Linked DNA regions of Lonchura striata. The protein of the gene in region 1 interacts with the protein of each later gene in a biochemical or structural test. Links are inferred from orthologs where the notes say so. Each region holds a gene or a part of one and is shown in the gene's direction. Other genes may lie near its edges.

Region 1 (10,227 bases):
GCATTACTTGTGTGCTCTCAGTCAGGAAAATTGTGCTGTTTCTTTCCAAAAAAACTTGGGTTTCTGTTCTTCTTGAAAAAATACAAAGACAGAAAAAGTGGAGTGGACAATAATTCTCCAGCAGGAAACAATGGAGGACAGTCTGTTTTAGACTTTTTGTTTGCTCTACAAAGTCATTCTTCAGTAACAGTCTGCGTACTAGCAGCTTTGAATTTCTGTTTCTAAATAAAGTTGAAGGAAGTTGATTAACTGTGAGTCAGCCTCTCTCCCTCTGGATACCTGGAGGTTTCACATGCCATTTAAACGAAAGCAGTACTTGGGTGTAACTTGTGTTTATTGTGTGGGCTTGGCTTCCCTGTATGCAACACTAGTCATGGGGCTCCTTTTCTGGTCAGAATTAATATGCTTTGCACAAAGGGACAGAAGATGGGCTAGAGCTGCACTTAATACTTTCAGACTTTGCATAGGACTGGCTTTGAAAACTCCTGTGGGAAGGTTTTTTAAAGAACTATTTCTTTGATCTGTAAGGGGAAAGTTTAAAGAAGTGTTTCTGCTTTTGAGTAAAATATAACTGTCATGAACTTCTACAGTCAGGAGATCCTTAAGTACTGGAATTGTCAAAAACTGCTCACTTGTCTTGTCTTTTCTTTCTCAGTACAACCTTTATGGTAGATCTACCAAAGATCTATCAGAAGTCAGGATGCCTGCAGGCTTAATGACGTTAGCTGTGCTTGCTAGGCTCCTAGTACTACTCTGCTTTCCTAAGCTTCTTAATGCTTTGTATACAGATGTTTAAAGTTGTAGTTAAGTGATTTTTTTTTTGCACACGGAAAAGTAATTTTTTGCTTAATTTAATTCATGTGCTTTTAATATATTAATTATTTTTTTAACATATCACTACATTTCAGACTACATACTCCTTATCAGCATGTTCCTCTGACAATTGTAGTGCTAGTCTCTGAATCTAAAAGATGCTTGATTTTATTTTGCTCTTATAAGATCAGTCACATGGATTTCTTTAGTAATTACTTGAGATAGTTCAGTGCGTGCATGTGCTAAAATAGCCTACAAATGTGATTGGATATTAAACACCAAATATGGCTAATGCAGGATTGTAAGTAATGTAGAATCTGGAAATAGTTATACAAATGTTGTTATTAAGAGCTAAATATTTTACAGCACAAGAAATCATCTTAATTTCTAAATAAGTAACATGTAATATGATATCACCTCAACAGAAATACACACATGCCTAATAGGACCAGGAAATAAGTAATATGCACAGTTTATAGAGGAAGTTGTGGTTCTAGGCTTCAGTCTTTCTGTCACATCTCTTCTTTCTATGTTTTTATCTCTATTACTGCCTAAGTGCATAATATTTATATATTATGCAACTTATATATGTAACTATGTGTTATATATACCTTTATCTATATATATATATATATATATATAAATGCATTCATTTCTTACTAAGAAGCATTACATCAACATTTCCTTGATTAGCTTTGCAATCAAGTACATCTCTTTGAATATTGCAATTTGACAGTACTAGAGTGTTTCTAAAATGTCACCGTTACTTCTTTCAACACTGTCTCCAGTGTTGTAGTTCATACCTGATGTCTTCGGCACACGCAGTTCCTTACCTCATGGCTAGAGCAATTCTGACATGGGATGTGGCTTCTGGCATCATTGGGAGCCACATTTGAATGACTGGAAGGTATCATAATGGGAGTCTATATCTTTCTTAATTCTGCACAAGCCATGTAAGGAAATATTTCTCCATGCCTTTTCTGAGTAGATCAGCTAAATCCCTTGTGACACTTCTAACATAGAGAGCTTTCTGGTGCTCTGGTGCTTTCTGGTGAGAAAAGTTAAGGCAAAAGCTATTTTTGGCTGTCACTGTCTAAAATGGTCTCAAGATTTCTGTGCAGATCTCTTTTATTCCCTGGATGGATTTGACAGAGAAGTTACCTAGTGCTCCATTAGCAGTTGAAAGATTATAGACAGCAGAGATTTAGCAAAGGATTAGTCAATTGTAGAGTGTGCATTATCCGGCCAGGCTTAGAACCGTGATTGTCTCTTCAATCATTTTCATTAGTGTCTTATTCAAAGATTGAATTACGTAACAATGACGTTTCTGGGGAATCTGGTAGGAGTTTTTCTTTGGTTTCTCTCTCTCTTCTGCTAACTATTCTAGCCTGGGAGAGGAGAAAAAGCATTGTTTTTGTGCTTCAAAGTGGCAGCATGTTTTAAAAAGCAGCATTTCAAATCAGTGAAGAGGCATGGCTTCAGTTGCAGCATCTGCATTTGGATGATAACTTAGTGTGGTGGAAGTCTTGAGACAGGCAGGATGCGATACAAGAAATACATAACTATTTTAGAAGCAGCAATAGGTGTTACTCCCCTTAACAAGAGGGAGCTGCTTCCTGAGGGTAGACATGCAAATCTGTGGCAACATCCAGGGTAAGTGTTAAAAAGCAATTAGTGAGTAACTATGGGAAAAACTGTGCTCACCTTGAATCATGCATTTTTAAAACTTGTTATCAGAAAGAGGAGAGTTATTAATAAAACAGGTGATCTTTTTTTGTACTGTCCAAGTTTTGTATCTTCAGTAGTTGTGGTTGAACTTAGTGGTTTCATTAGAGATTTCTGTGTACTACCAGTCCTTGACTAGAGAAATAACTAGAAGAAGGTGTTATTTCTAAATTACGAGTTTGCTGAAGAACAGGAACAATAAATACATGTATACTCATCAGAACAGAAATGAAATGGCTATTTTGTATTTTTTGCTTGCTACTAACTTGATGTATGTCTGTGTTTCCCCTCTCCTCATTTAAAATATACATATTTTAATTTTTATCTGTCAGAGAAGCAGTTCCTAAAATGGGAAAAGAAAAATCACTTTTTTCTTTGCAGGCAACTTTACTTCTCTGCTTAGGAGGAAGAGTTCATAATACTTAGGAATACTGTTTCCCTACAAGAAGACTTTTCTGATTGTTGTTAAAAACAATTCGGAGTGCTTTCTTGTACCATACACTTAAGTATTAAGCTTCAGAAAAATCTTTGTGTATGTAACTGTTTCCACCAAAAACATATGTTGTGTGGAAAACAGAGTTGTCACTCTCTTCCACCTGCCCCTGTATGAGTAGCATGGATGGATGGGTGTCTTTAGAGTCCTTCTGATCTCTTGTATTTTTGTAATACATTAGAATGTTGTCACCTTGTTTCAGACATTGCAGAGGAGTGCAAAATATGAGTGGCTTTTGTCCAAGACCAATTAGCATGTTCCTATTGGTTCTGTGTAAACAAGGCTTCAAAGAAAAACTTGGATTATAATTGTGGCTGTTTGACTATAACTGCATTCAGATTTATCTTATAATTTCTCCACAATTTTGCTTTCTTTAATGGTGGCAGCAACAGTAAAAGCAATAAATCACTATCTTTTTCTTTCAGATCTATCACCAGAACCATAAAAACTGGTCTAGAAAATACACTGATAGAAATGGTTTTGTGTCTTTTTATTAACAAAAGTGTTCTTCATGTTGGTTCTAAATTTCCAGTGTCATGTTAATGAGTGCTTGTAGCACTTTTTGTTAAAAACTTGCCCAATAAAAGGGATTCTCAGTGCAGTCTATTTGGATTCAGGACAGCGGAGTATGCTGTACTGTGACTTCCTTTGGTTGTTCCATATAAATTATATACATGCAAATCTCTGATTTTTACAGCTGCTCTTTATACATTAATAAAATGTTAGCTGATTTCTCCTACTATTTTGAGGAACTGTGTTGGAAAGTTCCTGTATATATATTCTTGTAGAATTCTTCTTTGTTTTTAAGTAGGTTACTCTGGCTAGAGTCACAGCTTGAATCAAGGGAGAGGTTTAGTTAATGTGATTGTTGTACACACTTGGAATTTCAAGCTGGTTAAGATATATTCCAATTATGTTTGGATTGCCATTCCAACAGTTTCGGAAAAGCTGTTGTCATTGGACTGTAATAGGGATCCCTTTTATGTTTCTATTAGAACTTTCAGGGAACAAAAGGTTGGTAACCAGCAATTGAGTAGAAGGAAATCGAGTTGACAAAAAAAAAAACCTGTTCTTTTTGTAGCTGCATATTGCTTATTCTGTATGACTGGAATAAACACATTAATAATGCACTTTGCTAAGATCAGCTTATCAACTTCTAGAGGTACTCTGTTATATTCTTTGTAAAAATGAAATGTGATAAAAGTGTGAGTGTGTGTGTATAGGAAAAATATGTAACATAATGAGATGCTGTCCAAAACCTAATACTGAATAAAGGGTATAGAGTCCTTATTTGTCAGCTCCTCACTGCACAAATGCAGGTGCATAATTGAGCACTTTATATTTCTTAAACATCTCTTAAGATAAAAAATAGCACTGGAGTGTGATGCCAGGTCATCTGGAGTGTGATGGCTCGAGCCATTGCTTGAAAGTTGTAAGAATTCTGCTTAAAAACCCAGACTACTGTGCAAAAGAAAGCAGGAAAGGCACATACATTATTTTGCTGAGGTATTAATTTATATTTTCTTATCAAAGACATTACAAAGTTAAGTTTTTCTACTTCCGTCTTTGCTTGATGTGATGTGATGTGATTTCTGTGACAGATTGATTTTTATGAAGTTTGACAAAGGTAAAATGGTGGTAGGAATGGTAGTTAGGCTTAGCTTGTCTGTGTGACTTTTCTGCAGCCTCCAGAATAGTATTTTGTGCACAGCCTAGAAAGGCTGAAGTTTGTTTTGAGTGCACAGTATAGCTTGTGCTGCTCTTTGGTGGTCATATAAACTCATGTTAAGCATCTTTTTCTACTGCAACTTCAAAAATCCTGCCTTGATTTAAAACTGTAGTTTACTTAGAAAGATACTTTTATGCTGGAAGAGCATGGGAAAAAAAGACAAAATAACCTTCTAGTTTTGAGGTGTGATGTCTTTACAACACACATTGTTGCGTGTTGTAAAAAGTTAATCTGAAACAGCTTTATTTTTTTTAATTTTAGATATTTTAATTTTGCTTTTTTGAACCTGTGACCTCATTACTTTTGTGCTTAGGAAAAAGTGGATGTCACACACAAGACACATCAAAACTTGGGCCAGACTTGTATACAGTGGGGAAGTTATGCAGAATTCTTTCAGTATCTCTTATGTCTCTCAAGTGATCTAGAAACGCCTAATTGAGTATTAACCATAATGAAAAAACATCTATACATTGTGAGGGGCAGGGAGGGTGGGGCATGGAAACAGGCAAACAAATTCAAGCCTGATGAAAAAATAACTAATATACTTTCCTAGGGAAGTCTGGCTATATCCTTCTTTGGAAATTGAGCACTTGGAAAGATGTTTTGGAAAGAAGAATTGAAATTACTGAGTTGCACGTTGGTTTTCTTTTAAAAACAAAACAAAAGCCACCATCAAACCCTAACTGCTAGCTTGTGTTTCTATTTCTGTCAAAAGTTCCTTCTTTATCTTAGTAAAACCATTCATTTTCTCTTTTCCTACCGAGGGTAATCAAGGACTAGACAAGGGGTCAGGGAGAGGGGGAGCCCCGTGACCGGGATGCTGAATGGAAGCTAACATGCTACTTGTGCCCAAGAAGGGTAGATGAAGCCTACTGAGCAGGGGAAGGAGGATAGAAGATTACACTGGAAATTGTTTTCTTTCTATAATTTGGCAACTGAAGTTCTTGAGTTACCATCTGATGTCACTGGAGCACATGTATCTGATTGTTCTCACTGAGGTTATGCTCAAGATACAATGCTGTTACTGTACACAGCTTTCCTGTGTACAGCCTTGTGCAAGCTAAACAATCAGACCAAAACTAAATTGAAACAAAAAGCCAGATGGATTGTGGAGAGAACCAGTGCAACGAAGTAACTATAAGTATGCTTCCTGTCAATACCCTATTTCATTGGCAAAAATGCATGCATTGCTTTGCGTGTAGGCTTGGTGTAAATATTTCTGAGTATCTCCTTTTTTTCAATCACTACTTCCAAGTGATTTCCCAGGAAGCTAAAGCATGTCAAAATAAGCAGGGAAATATATTTTGTATCTTCTTTTATCTCTAGGATTTCAATGTTCCAGGCTTCACAAGCACTCCTTTTTGGTTATATGGACTTAAACGAAACCTTGTTTTTCAGGGAGCAAACTACTGCGCTGCCATCTCCTTGTGAGTGGGACTGGGAGCACAGCTGTACATCAAGCCCAAAGCATAGCGCAGCAGGTAGACAACGGCACTCAAAAATTGTCACTCCTCCCAAGGTACCAGTCAAGTTGCATCAGTTAGACTTAGCCATTAATTTAAAATTGTGTATTCTTGTCATGTGATCGCTGAGGTGTATATTCTTTTAGCTATGTTTTTATAAGGTTTCAAGAAATTGTACTTAGTAGAGTAATGTGAAATTAAAACTAGTTCTTTTGAATTATCAAAGAAATTTTAATTGGTTATATGCGCATTTGCTGTGAACTTGATGATGTACAACAGGCCTCCAGAGGAGAAGAGGTTTCTCCAATGAAGTCAATATTCTGCTAAAGTTATGCAAATAATAATGCACAGGCCTGTACTAGTTCATCTGTTAGCTAAACACTGGTAAAGAATGGATGTAATCTATGATGATGTCTTCAGCAAATATAAATATTTAGCATGGACTTGGGGATAAATAAATTACTTTTAAGCACAAAGGGTAATATTCATGGGAGTTGCTTAGTGACTCAAGCCAGTCCTAGGAAACAGAATAGCCACACAGGGAGAGTTGTTTTGCTGCATATTTTCTTACAGTACATCATTAAGGTAAATATAATCCTTTTGGCATATTAACCTTTTGAAACCATTTCTCAAGTGCTTCCAGAAGGACTATAAAATGCATCCTTAGTTTTATGTGTTGATCAAACGTGCTTGGCTTGCTTTTGTAAGTGATTAACAGATGATGATTTTAAGAGAGGGAAAGATTTTTATGCTGATATTTTACAAAACTATAACTGACTTCCATTTCTGAGATGAAGCAGCTATTGCTGCTTTAGTAATTTACTTAAAAATGTGCATATCTGCTGTTTTGACTTTCTAATTTGTGACATACTTAACCAAAGCTAGTTCCCTGTTTAATTTTCTGGCAGTGAGGGAAAATTTGATAGAAGAATATCAGTGAAATGTAGCTAGGCAGGAATGTCTCTGCTGAGGTTTTGAGCAGCCTCTGACATTTTCCTCAAAACAAAAACCTTCAGTGGTAGGGTATGCCAGCTTTACATCAGGGACTGTGGATAGTTGGGAGCTCAACTCTTAGCAAAAGAAATTCCAGAACCATTTATCAACAAGGACAAGATGGCTCAGAAGGTGCATCCAGCTGCTTTATCTGTGGGCTTCTAGGAGTTGTGGAACTGGCAAGTGAATGACAGGATGGCTGTGTTCATCTGCTTTCCCCCTTATTGTTCTTGCTGTTCTCTTTTGGACTATTGCCAGCTCACTTTAGTCATTTGTGAAAAACATCACCCAAAAGTGGGCATTACCCTAGCTGGGACCTTGCTGTTTCTGAATAGGGCTGCAGAACTGCTTTGTTTCTTAATAAGCTCGTCAGCAGGAGGTTTGCCAGTATAAATAGGATGGGAAGAGGCAGAGCTTTGAAGCATAGATTTTGTGCTCTAAAGAATTAACTTGGCTGAAGAACTGCTGTCTGGAGTTTTGTTTTTTAAATTAACCCCTATATCAAGAAAAAAAGTAACACATCTTTGTGTATGTTACATCTTGTGTAATCTGCATATTCTTTTGCTTGTTTTTAATAAGAATAATGTTATCCACGAGAATGGGATTTTTGTTTTCTTTATTGTGTTGTCTTAATTAATTTGGAGCCATAACAGTTGATTACTATGGTAAAGCTTTGATGTTGTAGGGCTTGACTTCTAATGGGGAGAGGCAGATAAATAGCTAAAAGCAGAGGATTTATTCACATCCTTGCCAGTAGTCAAGAAACATAGGGAAGAGAGGAAGGAAATGAGACGTAAGCAAAATGAATGTTCAAACAGAATGTGTCTGCAGTTAAAAAGGAAAATTTGCGGTTGGGAAGAGATTTCCTTTCAAGTGTTGATATACACTTTTGTTATGGTGTCTGGAGAGGAAAACAGCACACACTTGTGTGATTTGGATTGGTTTACACTGCATTGTTATTTCATTCTTTAGAATAACGGTTTTAGTTTTTGTAGCTTCTTAAAGTAGTAGAGGTTGAAGTGCTTTTGCCAAGAAAAGTTGTTTCAATTTGCATAGTCTGTAGAGGAGGGGATGCAGGGGGATAGTGTATTCAAGCAGAGTCACTGTTAAGACCCTGCTTGCCTCTAGCAGTATGTCAAACTATTTCATTTGCTTGCCTTACTAGGGTAATTTTCAAGGAACTGTAGTGTAATTAAAATGTTGCTCAGATGAAAATGTGGTTAGAAAAAATAGACTGTATTTCTTTTTCTCACAACTATAATTTTTATTAACTGTTACCAAACACCTCTGCATATTCTCATGCTGTTTTATCTATCCTATGAATATGCTGTACATCTGTGTTTTCTAATTGCCATATTCTTTGCAAAAGCAAAGTAGCAACAAACAAAGCAAACAATCTTCTGATGTAAAGCACAGCAAACTTGTAATGTGTGAGATCTGGTAGAACTGATGACTGTCCAACACAGTGAGGAAAATATACATTACATTTAATATATATTTATATGTTTTAAAAAAGAAAATATATGTGTATCTCATTTAATGGCCAGTGCTGTTCCTAGTTCTTCAGCATATAACAGTGCGTTTCAAATCTTTTTGTGAACTTAAAAATTGAGTTTGTGATTGGCTTAGAACAGTGCTGCCTCTTGCTCTAAATAATTATATATTTTAAATTTTTTAGCAGTTTGAGATGTCTCAGGAAATCTCAGTGTCTAGGTTTAAAAAATTTACAATATTCTGCTCTTGAAAACATCATAATAGGTGGCCTCGTAAGTGACAAAGGATTTGACAGTGTGATTATGCCATAAAAATATGTACAAAGTGTGAGATGCTGTGTGTGTTGGGCTGTGTTTCTTCCTGGGACATCTATACTTTCTAAAATAACAGCATTAGTATTGCTGCTTTGAGACTTGGAAAGTGTGTATAGCTGTTCATCCTTGCACTACATCAGAGACAGACAACAGACCAGACCCTGCAGCTGCATGCCAAAATTGTTATGTTGCATAATCACAAGCTGTACTTTGGAAGTGGAGACAAGGGGCAGGATAATAATTGCCTCGTTCTGCTTTAAGCTGGCACTTGAATCATGCAGTAACTCCGGAATGATAGGATAATTCAGGTGGAAAGGGACCTCAGGAGGTTTCTTGTGCAACCTCGTGCCCAAAACAGGGTCATCTGTGAGATCAGAACAAGTTGCCTGGGGCTTCACCCAGTTGGGTTTGAAAACCTCCAAGGACAGAGACTACAACTTGTCTGCAGTGGGTCCATGGTTTGCCTGTCCTCGTGGGGAAAATTGTTTCCCTTTATGGACATCTGAACCTGTCTTGTTTGAACTTTGGCCCGTTGTCTCTTACCCACCTTGCACTACTGCTAGGAACCTGGCCTCATCTCTTCAATCCTTTCTATCAGCACCAATGGGCTGCTGCTGAGTGTCCACCCTTCCTCCAAGCTAAAAATCCCAGCTGCCACAGCTGCCTCTTGCAGGGTCAGTGCTTCAGCCCCCATCATCTTGCTGACCCTCCTTTGGACTCACTTCTACACATGGTAGCAAGTGTTGAGATAGTATGTAAGGTGTCTTCTCCAGTCCCTCCAAGACAGAGATTAGGATTACTGTGCCATATCTGTGACAACTCCAGTGTAGAGCTGCATGTTTGAACCATATGTATGGAGCTCCTGAGCAGTTCCTTAGAGTCAGAGGTCAGCTACCTACACATCCTCTAATCCTGAAGGTTGAATCTGTTAGTGCCCAGCTTACTATATAAAGAAGCGAACGTAATTGGATTTATGAATCATTTAAGTAGGACTGGGCTGACTGATTTGTGTGATTTTGCAGGCTGATGACAAATGGCTGTCTAAAGAGATTGCCTGGAAGGGAAGGGGGAAAGGCTGTTTGACAACATGGTATTTTTAGAAACTTCTACAGTGTCTCTCATGACAGGATCATGAACACTTGCTTAAAAACAAGAGCACAACTGGCATCTCTGTTCAGATAGTTCCAAAACTGGACGAGCAGC
Region 2 (10,113 bases), on another chromosome or scaffold:
CCTGACCCCAAACCCCCATTGTTCTGGTTTTTGGGTCCATCCCTGACCCCCGTTCTGGTTTTTGGGTCCATCCCTGACCCCCATTGTTCTGGTTTTCGGGTCCGTCCCTGAGCCCCGTTCTGGTTTTTGGGTCCATCCCTGACCCCCGTTCTGGTTTTTGGGGCTTTCCCTGACCCCAAACCCCCATTGTTCTGGGTTTTGGGTCCATCCCTGACCCCCGTTCTGGTTTTTGGGTCCATCCCTGACCCCCGTTCTGGTTTTTGGGGCTGTCCTGCCCCGAGCAGACGCAGGCGCTGATGTCGGAGCTGCTGGCCGAGCTGCAGGAGCGCCACGAGGAGCTGGAGAAGCGTCTGGGGGCCCTGGAGGCGCAGCTGGAGGCGCTGGGGCTGCGCCTGCTGGCCCTGCCCGGGCTGGTGAGCCAGGCCCTGGGCCAGCCGCGGCCACCGGGGCCGGCGGGGACAGCGGGGACAGCGGGGACAGCGGGGACACCGGGGACAGCGGGGACAGCGGGGACAGCGGGCACAGCGGGCACAGCGGGACTGTCACAAGCACCGCGGCCACCAGGCACACCGGGACCACCAGGGACACCGGGACCACCGGGGACACCGGGACCACCGGGGACATCGGGGACCTCGGGGACGCCGCGGCCGAGCGCGGCCACCGCCCCCTGCAGCCCCAGCCGCGACCCCCGCGCCGCCCCCGACAGCCCCCGGCCCGCCTCGGACAGCGGCTGAGCGGCGGCGGCACCGGCGGCACCGGCGGCACCGGCGGCACCGGCGGCACCGGGGGGCACCGTTTGTCCCCTCGTGTCACCTCGGGCAGCGGCCGCGGGGCGCTGGGGTCACCCCCGTGTCCCCTTCCGTCACCTGGGACAGCGGCTGGGGATGAGGGGGGGACACGGGGGTCCCTCTGTGCCACCTCTGCCACCTCACGGGACAGCGAGGGGGCGTGGGGACACCCCAAGGTGGGGACACCCCAGTGTGGGGACACCCCAATGCGGGGACACCCCAGTGTGGGGACACCCCAGTGTGGGGACACCCCAATTTGGGGACACCCCAATGTCCCCTCTGTCACCCCCCCCAACTTTGGGCTGTGCATAATGGGGGGGGGGGAGGTTGGGGACACCCCCAGACCCCTTTGTGTCCCCCCACGCTGTGAGGGCAGTTTCGGGGTGCGGGGGGGTCGCAGAGCCCTTTGTGCCCCCCGGTTTTGGGGTGCGGGGGGGGGGTCGCAGAGCCCTTTGTGCCCCCCGGTTTTGGGGTTTGGGGGGGGTCTCAGAGCCCTTTGTGCCCCCCGGTTTTGGGGTTTGGGGGGGTCGCAGAGCCCTTTGTGCCCCCCGGTTTCGGGGTGCGGGGGGGGTCTCAGAGCCCTTTGTGCCCCCCGGTTTTGGGGTTTGGGGGGGTCTCAGAGCCCTTCGTGCCTCCCGGTTTCGGGGTGCGGGGGTCCCCGTGTTTATCTCTGGCCATCGTGTGGCCGTGCCCGTAGCTTTGTTCTGGAAAGCTCCGTATAAAAACCTCCTGCGTTCACTGTGCTGGGCCCCCCAAAACCCCCCCAGGGCCCCCCCAGATCCCCTCGGACCCCCCGGGAACCCCCGGCACCCCCCAAACAAGGGGAGCCGAGCTGAGCTTTTTTGGGGGGGGGCTGGGAGAGGGGAGGGGACGGGGGGGACAATCCAGGAGCCCTGAGCGGTTTTGGGGGGGTGGGTCTAAAATTTGGGGACTGGGTGGGGGGGCTCGGAGGGGGGGAGGGGGAAAGAGAGACCCCCGTGGTGACCCCCAAAATGGGGGTGGGGGTGTATTTTTGGGGGGGGGAGGGTTTCTCCATTCCTGGCTCCGCCCCCAAAGTGACCTTGGAGACGTCACCTCTCTGTGCCTCAGTTTCCCCCAGCTGGAAAATGGGGGTGGGTGGGTTTGGGGGGGCACCCCTGGATGCAATACTGAGCCCATCCCCGACCCCCGGGGTGGGTCAGGACCCCTCCCCACAGCCCTGGACCCCCCCCGGGTCCGGTTCTGCTCCACCCGCGGAGCTGGGGGGGTTTGGGGGAATTTGGAGTTTTTTGGGGCAGTTTTGGGGGGGGCTGAGGCGCAAATTAAAGGAGCCTGAACTGGACGTGTCGCTCTCTGCTTGACCTGGAGGGTCTGGGGGGATTTGGGGGGCTTTGGGGGGATTTGGGGCATTTTAGGGTGGTTTGGAGGAAATTTTGGAGCGGTTTTGTAGGGATTTTTGGGGTGTTGGGGAGGATTTTAGGGGATTTGGGGAGATTTTTAGGATTTTGGGGGTGGATTTGGGGAGATTTGGGGGGACTTTTAAGGATTTGGGGGGATTATTGTGATTTGGAAGAGAATTTAGGGGGTTCGGGGGGATTTTTGAGGTTTTGGAGTGCATTTGGGGGGTTTTGAGGTTTTGGAGCAGATTTGGGGGGATTTTTGGGGGTTTGGAACAGATTTGGGGGGATTTTTGAGGTTTCGGGGCGGATTTTGGGGGACCCCTGACCCTTTTTGGGGCCCCGCGGCCCCAGAAGCGTTGGGAACGCTCAGGGGGGTGGGGAGGTGGTGGCCCCGTGCGACAATCGGGGGAAACTGAGGCTGTCAATGATTAACGCGCGGTGCCCGGCGGCGGTGGCACCGCCGGTGGCACCGGTGACACCGCTGGTGGCACCTCTGGTGGCACCGCTGGTGGCACCGCTGGTGGCACCGCCGGTGGCACCGGGGAGCAGCCGGGGGACATCGCGCTGTGCCCGGGGGTCGCGTGTGTCCCCTCCCCATGCGACGGGCAGGTGAGGGCGGTGGCGGGGAGGGGACAGTGGCCATTGTCCCCCGGGGCTGGCAGGGGGACAGGAGGGGACACGGGGTCCCTGAGCGTCACCCGTGGCTGTTTCCCAGCCAAAGGTGTCCCCAAAGGTGTCCCCAAAGGCGTCCCCAGATGTCCCCAAAGGTGTCCCCAAAGGTGTCCCCAGAGGTGTCCCCAGAGGTGTCCCCAGGTGTCCCCAGATGTCCCCAAAGGTGTCCCCAAAGGCGTCCCCAGATGTCCCCAGAGGTGTCCCCAAAGGTGTCCCCAGGTGTCCCCAGGTGTCCCCAGAGGTGTCCCCAAAGGTGTCCCCAGGTGTCCCCAGAGGTGTCCCCAGGTGTCCCCAGATGTCCCCAAAGTCGTCCCCAGGTGTCCCCAGATGTCCCCAGAGGTGTCACCATGGCCGGAGGTTGTGTCCCCAAAAGTGTCCCCAAAGGTGTCCCCAGGTGTCCCCAGAGGTGTCCCCAGGTGTCCCCAAGTGTCCCCAGGTGTCCCCAGCTGTCCCCAGGTGTCCCCAAAGGTGTCCCCAAAGGTGTCCCCAGAGGCGTCCCCAGCTGTCCCCAGGTGTCCCCAAAGGCGTCCCCAGGTGTCCCCAGCTGTCCCCAAAGGTGTCCCCAAAGGTGTCCCCAGCTGTCCTCAGAGATGTCCCCAGCTGTCCCCAGAGGCGTCACCGCCGCCGGACGATCCATCCCGTTCCCGGGCCAGCGGAGCCGCGACAATCGGGGACATCCGGAGAGAGCCGGGGACAGTCGGGGACACCCCCCGAGCCACCCCCACCCCTCGGTTCGGGGTTTTTGGGGAGGCCCCGCCACCTTTGTGCCCCCTCCCCCCGCGGGAGCTGCAGTAATTCAACATTACTTAATTCATTAATTATGTTTGGTAATTAACACAAAAACGTCTGCACGGTTTGTTTTTGGGGGGGGTCGGCCCGACCCGGAGCTGCCCCCCCGCCCTTTGGGGACTCTCCTGACCCCAATTTCCCCTTTTCCCCCCAATTTCCCCTTTTCCCCCCAATTTCCCCTTTTCCCCCCAATTTCCCCTTTCCTCCCCAATTTCCCCTTTTCCCCGAATCTCCCCTTTTCCCCCAATTTCCCCTTTCCTCCCCAATTTCCCCTTTTTCCCCCAATTTCCCCTTTTCCCCCAATTTCCCCTTTTCCCCCCAATTTCCCCTTTTCCCCCCGAATTTCCACTTTTCCCCCAATTTCCCCTTTCCTCCCCAATTTCCCCTTTTTCCCCCAATTTCCCCTTTTTCCCCCAATTTCCCCTTTTCCCCCCCAATTTCCCATTTTTCCCCCAATTTTCCCCTTCCCTCCCCAATTTCCCCTTTTTCCCCCCAATTTCCCCTTTTCCCCCCGAATTTCCCCTTTTCCCCCGAATTTCCCCTTTTTCCCCCCAATTTCCCCTTTCCCCCCCAATTTCCCCTTTTTCCCCCAATTTCCCCTTTTCCCCCCAATTTCCCCTTTTCCCCAATTTCCCCTTTTTCCCCCAATTTCCCCTTTTCCCCCCAAACCTCCCCGGGGCTCCCCCGCTGCTGCCCCGCCCCGTTTTTTAACCCCTCCGTGCCCGGTGCTTCCCCCGCCTCCCCGGGGGCGGGACCCGGGGCCGGTCCCGCAGCGCCGCCGCCGCCGCCGCCGCCTCCGCCGCTCCCGGCTGCCATTTTAAGGTGAACAAAGCGGCGGAGGAGGCGGCAGGTGAGCGGCTCCGCGGTACCGGCAGCTCCCGGTACCGGCACCGGCACCGGCAGCGCGGGGAGACGGCGGTACCGGAGCGGGAGGGAGCGCCGGGGGTCTCCGTTCCCCGCTGGGAACGGGCGGGTTCCTCCTTCCCCGAGGCACCGGGGGCCCCGCCGGGCTTCTCTCCGGTACCGCGGGCCGCACCGGAACCGGCCACGGGGCTCCAGAGCGGTACCGACTCCTCACCGGCACCCGGGTCCCCGCCACCGGATTCCAAAGCGGTACCGGGTCCCCACCGGCTCCGCAGCGGTACCGGATTCCAAAGCGGTACCGGGTCCCCACCGGCTCCGCAGCGGTACCGGACTCCAGAGCGGTACCGGGGTACCGGCTCCGTACCGGTACCGGGCTCCCCGACACCGCCGAGCTCCCCTCCGTGCTCCCCCCGGTACCGGAGCCGGCCCCGCGGCTCCTCCCGTGTCCCCACAGCGGGCCGGGACCCCCGAGCCTCCGGTCCCGTCCCCGCCGGCTCCGGTCGCCGCTGCGGGTCCCGGGGGTCCCCGGTGGGGTCAAACCGGGGGATCCAGCCGGGACCGGGGCATTGCGGATCGACGGGATCGGGAACGGGACCCTTGGGCAGCCCCAGAACTGCCCCCGAGCCCCGGTACCACCGGAGCGGGCGCCCGCTTTGCCTTTCCCTCAGGAATTCGCCTTTCCCGCGGGGCTCTGGGGATTTTTGGGGGTCTCTGCGTGTCCCGCGGGGGGCCCCACGTTCATTTTGCTGATTTTAAGACCCCCCCCCAAATTTTCCTCGCGGCTCTGCCTCACGTGACCTCCGGAATTGTCGTGGTTTGGAATTATTTTGATTTTTTATTGCGATTATTTCGATTTTTAATCCGGGATCAGCTCGGCCCCCCTCAACCCCCCGCCGCTTCCCATTCGGGAATTCCAAAAATCCCGATTAATTCCCTGCCACCTCCGGGCTGTGGGGACAGGGAGGTGACACCGAGAGTCCGGCGTGGCTGGGGTGGCACCGGCTGGTGACTCACCGTGCCTCAGTTTACCCACGTAAACCCGCGGTGACTCCGTGCCTCAGTTTCCCCATGGAACTTCTGGGGCGTCTCCAAGGTTTTTGTGGGGAGGTGTCTCCAGGTTTGTTTTTTTTTTTTTGGGAGGGAGGGTCTCCGGATTTGTTCCTGGGGTCTCCAAGGTTTTTTATGGGCGTGCTCCGAGGCTTTTTTGGGGGTGGTCTCCGAGACACTTTTGGGGGGCGTTTTTCCAGGTGTTTTTTGTGGGGTCTCCAAGGTTTTTTTTGTGGGGTCTCCAAGGTTTTTTTGTGGGAGCTCCAAGATCTTTTTGTGGGGTCTCCATGTGGTTTTTTTTGTGGGGGACTCCAGGGTTCTTTTGTGGGAAATTTCCCAGGTTTGTTCGTTTGTTTTTGTGGGACCTCCAAGCCTTTTTGGCGACTCCCACTCCGGGTGGCGACTCCCTGCCTCAGTTTCCCCGCGGTAACTCCGGCTGGGCGGCGACGGCGACAAAGGGACCAAAGTCCTTCCCTTGCCACCCTCCGCGGGTGCCAAAACCGTGACAAAACCCTCCGCGAGCGGCTCTGTCCCCTCGTCCCCCGCAGGGATGTTCCCCAAGAAACTCTCCGACGGCCCCGCCGGCGGCTACGGGCCACCCCCGGCCACCTCCTACGGGCCACCCGCGGGCGACTACGGCTACGACTTCGGGGCCCGCTCGCCGCCGCCGGGCTCCTACTACGCGGAGGACGCCCCGCAGCATTTCTACCGCTGGTGCTCGCCGCCGGGGCTGGTGCGGCTGCTGGCGGCCGCGGTGCTGCTGCTCTGCGTGGCCGTGTTCGCCTGCGTGGCCTCCACGCTGGCCTGGGACTACGGCTACGGCTACGGCGGCGCGCTGGCCGCCGGCCCGGGCGGCTACTACGGCTCGGGCTACTACGGCGGCGGGCTGGGCTACGGCTACGGCTACGGCGGCTACTACGGCTACGGCGCCGCCAGCCCGCGGGCGGCCAACGGCTTCATGATCGCCGCGGCCGTGCTCTGCTTCCTCGCCCAGCTGGGGCTCTTGGTAGCCAGCCTGAGCAAGTCCAGCGGGTCGCGGTCGCGCCGCTTTTACCTGGCGGTCACGGTGGTGAGCGCCGTGCTGGCCCTGCTCGTGCTGGTGGCCAGCATCGTCTACGTGGTGGGGGTCAACCCGCAGGCGCAGATGAGCGGCGGCTACTACTACAGCCCGCTGCTAGCCATGTGCAACCAGGTGTACGCCGGCGGCGCCGTGCTCAACCAGTACCTGTACCACTACTGCACCGTGGACCCGCAGGAGGTGAGCGGGGCCAGCGGGCCACCGGGAGGGGGACCGCCGGGAGGGGACGGGGACCACCGGGAGGGGACCGCCGGGAGGGGACGGGGACCACCGGGAGGGGACGGGGACCACCGGGAGGGGACTACCGGGAGGGGATGGGGACCACCGGGATGGGATGGGGACCACCGGGATGGCGATTACCGGGAGGGGACAGGGATTTACCGGGAAGGGATGGGGACTACCGGGATGAGGATGGGGACTACCGGGAGAGGATGGGGACAACCGCAGGGGATGGGGACCGCCGGGAGGGGACGGGGACTACCGGAGGGGATGGGGACTACCGGGATGGGGATGGGGACTACCGGGAGGGGGACTACCGGGAGGGGACGGGGACTTACCGGAGGGGATGGGGACTACCGGAGGGGATGGGGACTACTGGAGGGGATGGGGACTACCGGAGGGGATGGGGACTACCGGAGGGGATGGGGACTACCGGAGGGGATGGGGACTACCGGGAGGGGACGGGGACTTACCGGGAGGGGATGGGGACTACTGGAGGGGATGGGGACCACCGGGAGGGGAACTACCGGGATGGGGACTACCGGAGGGGATGGGGACTACTGGAGGGGATGGGGACCACCGGGATGGGGATGGGGACTACCGGGAGGGGACAGGGACTACCGGGAGGGGAACTACCGGGATGGGGATGGGGACTACCAGAGGGGAACAGGTTTGGGGTTTGGGGTTTGAGATTCAGGAACTTGGGTAGGACAGAGAAAAAAACTGGGATTCAGGAATCAGCCCCGCCCCCTCGCTCACCCCCCCACCCCCGCTCTTCCCCGCGCCAGCCCCAAACTGCAGCGATCCCAAATCATTCCCGGGATCCCGATCCCGCTTTCCATCCCGGTCCCGGTCTCGGTTCAGGTCCCGGTCCCGGTCCCGTCCCTGGCCGGGCCCGCCGGGGCCGCTCCCCCCGGCGGGGCTGGAACTGGAATGCGGCGCTTCCAGCCCGGCCGGTGGGACCGGGAGCGCCCGGGGCCGCCCGGGACCGGCTCGGGATGGGGCCGGAACGGGGATGGGGCCGGCTCTGGATGGGGGCCCGGGGCTGGCACCGGGGGCCCCCAGATCCTGCCCATCCTTCCCAAACCCCAAAACTTTCCATGGCCTTTCTAAATCCCAAACCCTCCTCAATCCCAGACTTTCCCAAATCCTAAACCTTCCTGAATCCCAAATCTTCCCTGTCCTTCTCAAATCCCCATCCTTCCCAAATCCCAAACCTTCATTTCCCGTCCTTTCTGAATTCCAAAACTTTTCAAATCCCAAATTAGAGATTTGGGAAGGACAGGGAAAGGTTTGGGATTTGGGATTCAGGAAGGTTTGGGGTTTGGGAATGTTTGGGATTCGGGAAGGTTTAGGATTTGGGAAGCACAGAGAGAATCTTTGGGATCGGGCTCATCCCCTGCGGCGGGGACTCCCGGGCTGAGAGCAGCGGCGCCAGAACCCCCAAATCCCGAATTCCCGGAATTCCCGGAATTCCCGACTCCCGCATTCCCAGGCCGTGGCCATCGCCTGCGGCTTCCTGATGGTGCTGCTGCTGTGCCTCATCTGCCTCTTCGCGCACAAAACCCGCAGCAAGATCTGGAAGTACGGAAAACACAACATTTATTGGGATCGCCTCCCGGCCGGCCGCCAGGGCCCCGACGTGGAGGAGTGGGTGAGATTTTGGGGATTTGGGGGGTTTGGGGAATGCTGGGAATGGGATCCGGGGGGTCCTTCCCGCCCCTTTTCCAGCGGGGCTGGAAATCCCCAAGTTTGGGATGGGTGCAAAGGGAAGTTTGGGGGATTTGGGGGCACCGGGAGTGGATTTAGGGGGATTTGGGGATTTTAGGGGCATTTTGGGGACTTCGGGGGGAGTTTGGGGACTCCAAGAGGGCTTGGGGACACTGCCAGGTGACACCGCGGGGCGCCGCGCGCGGTTTCGGTCTGGCCAATGATTAACCGGGAGGTGGCACCGGGAAAAGCCGGAGTGGTGGCACCGGGACGGGGACCTTGGGGACATCCCGGGCTTGTGTCACCTGCTGGGCTGGCCCGGGGCGGGGTGGGAATGTCACAGCGCTCCCGCGGGAAGGCTTGGGACAGTGGCTTAGGGGACAGCCCTGTCCCTGTCCCATGTCACCATCCCTGTCCCGTGTCCCCATTCCTGTTCCTGTCCCCATTCCCTGTCCCCTGTGTCCCCATCCCTGTCTCCTGTGTCACCATCCCTGTCCTGTGTCCCCATCCCTGTCCCCATCCCTGTGTCCCCACCCCTGTCCCCATCCCTGTCCCTCTCCCCTGTGTCCCCACCCCTGTCCCCTGTGTCCCCATCCCTGTCCCCACCCCTGTCCCCATCCCTGTCCCCTGTGTCCCCATCCCTGTCCTGTGTCACCATCCCTGCCCCCAGTCCTGTCCCTGTCCCCACCCCTGTCCCCTGTGTCCCCGTGCCACCACTCCCATCCCGGTTTCCCTGGGGCCGCGCTCCCTGCGTCGCTTTTGATTTGATTGGATTTTTTGGTGATTTAATCTGATTTATTTTCTTTCCCATTGTGCTCTCGCCCCGTTTGTTTGGGTTCCTTTGGGTTTATTTGCTCCAGGCCCCTCCCTGGATGAACATTTCCCGTCCCTTTTGGGGACACGCCACCACCCGCAGGTGCCACCCGCAGATAACACCCCCGCCTGCCACCTCCCCCGCGCTTTTTTGGGGTGTCACCCCCTTTTGGGACATCTGAGTCCCCAGATGCCACCACGGCTTGGGGACACACCTGGCGGCCCCCGGGAGGGGACGGGGGAGGAAGTGGCGTGTCCGGCCGGATGTCCCCAAGGCCACCAAGCCGGCGGGGACCGGCGTCCGGCACAAACAACCCACAAAGGGCCGGACGGAAGGGGACAGGGGACAGCCGGACGTCCCTTGTCCCTCTGCGGGGCCACCCCGAACCTGCTGGGTGCCACCCTGAGGGTGCCACCAACCCCGAGCTCTGTCCCTTTGTCCCCTCGTCCCTTCGTCCTTTGTCCCTTTGTCCCTTTGTCCCTTTGTCCCTTTGTCCCTTTGTCCCTTTGTCCCAGTTTCTTCACGGGGGTTTTGGGCTTTTGGCCTTTTGGGTTTTTTGGGGTTTCTGGGTTTGTTGTTTTTTTGGTGGTGGGTTTTTTGTTGTTTTTTTTGTATTGGTTTTTTTTGGTGGTTTTGGTTTTGGGGGTTTCTGGAGTTTTTGGGGTTTCTGGGTTTTGGGATTTTTGGGGATGTGCCTGAAGGATTTGGGGGACTCCAGGTGGGACAAAAACCTCTGTTTCCTATGGATTTTCT

The links.
Region 2: the proteins of TJP2 (region 1) and OCLN form a complex in vitro, tested with the Homo sapiens proteins (3 studies listed by BioGRID). The link is inferred for Lonchura striata from reciprocal best matches to the Homo sapiens genes TJP2 and OCLN.

The regions. Positions count from the first base shown.
Region 1 is NC_134642.1:23,551,099-23,561,325, reverse strand, and holds the start of TJP2 (tight junction protein 2), read left to right. Parts: upstream 1-6,202; 5' UTR 6,203-6,279; intron 6,280-10,227. UniProt on the Homo sapiens protein: Plays a role in tight junctions and adherens junctions. Acts as a positive regulator of RANKL-induced osteoclast differentiation, potentially via mediating downstream transcriptional activity.
Region 2 is NC_134630.1:7,829,736-7,839,848, reverse strand, and holds the start of OCLN (occludin), read left to right. Parts: upstream 1-6,089; coding exon 6,090-6,797; intron 6,798-8,331; coding exon 8,332-8,490; intron 8,491-10,113. Other genes in the region: KCNN1 (small conductance calcium-activated potassium channel protein 1), read left to right, coding at 285-422, 707-840, 2,519-2,776, 4,402-4,648, 4,768-5,289. UniProt on the Homo sapiens protein: May play a role in the formation and regulation of the tight junction (TJ) paracellular permeability barrier.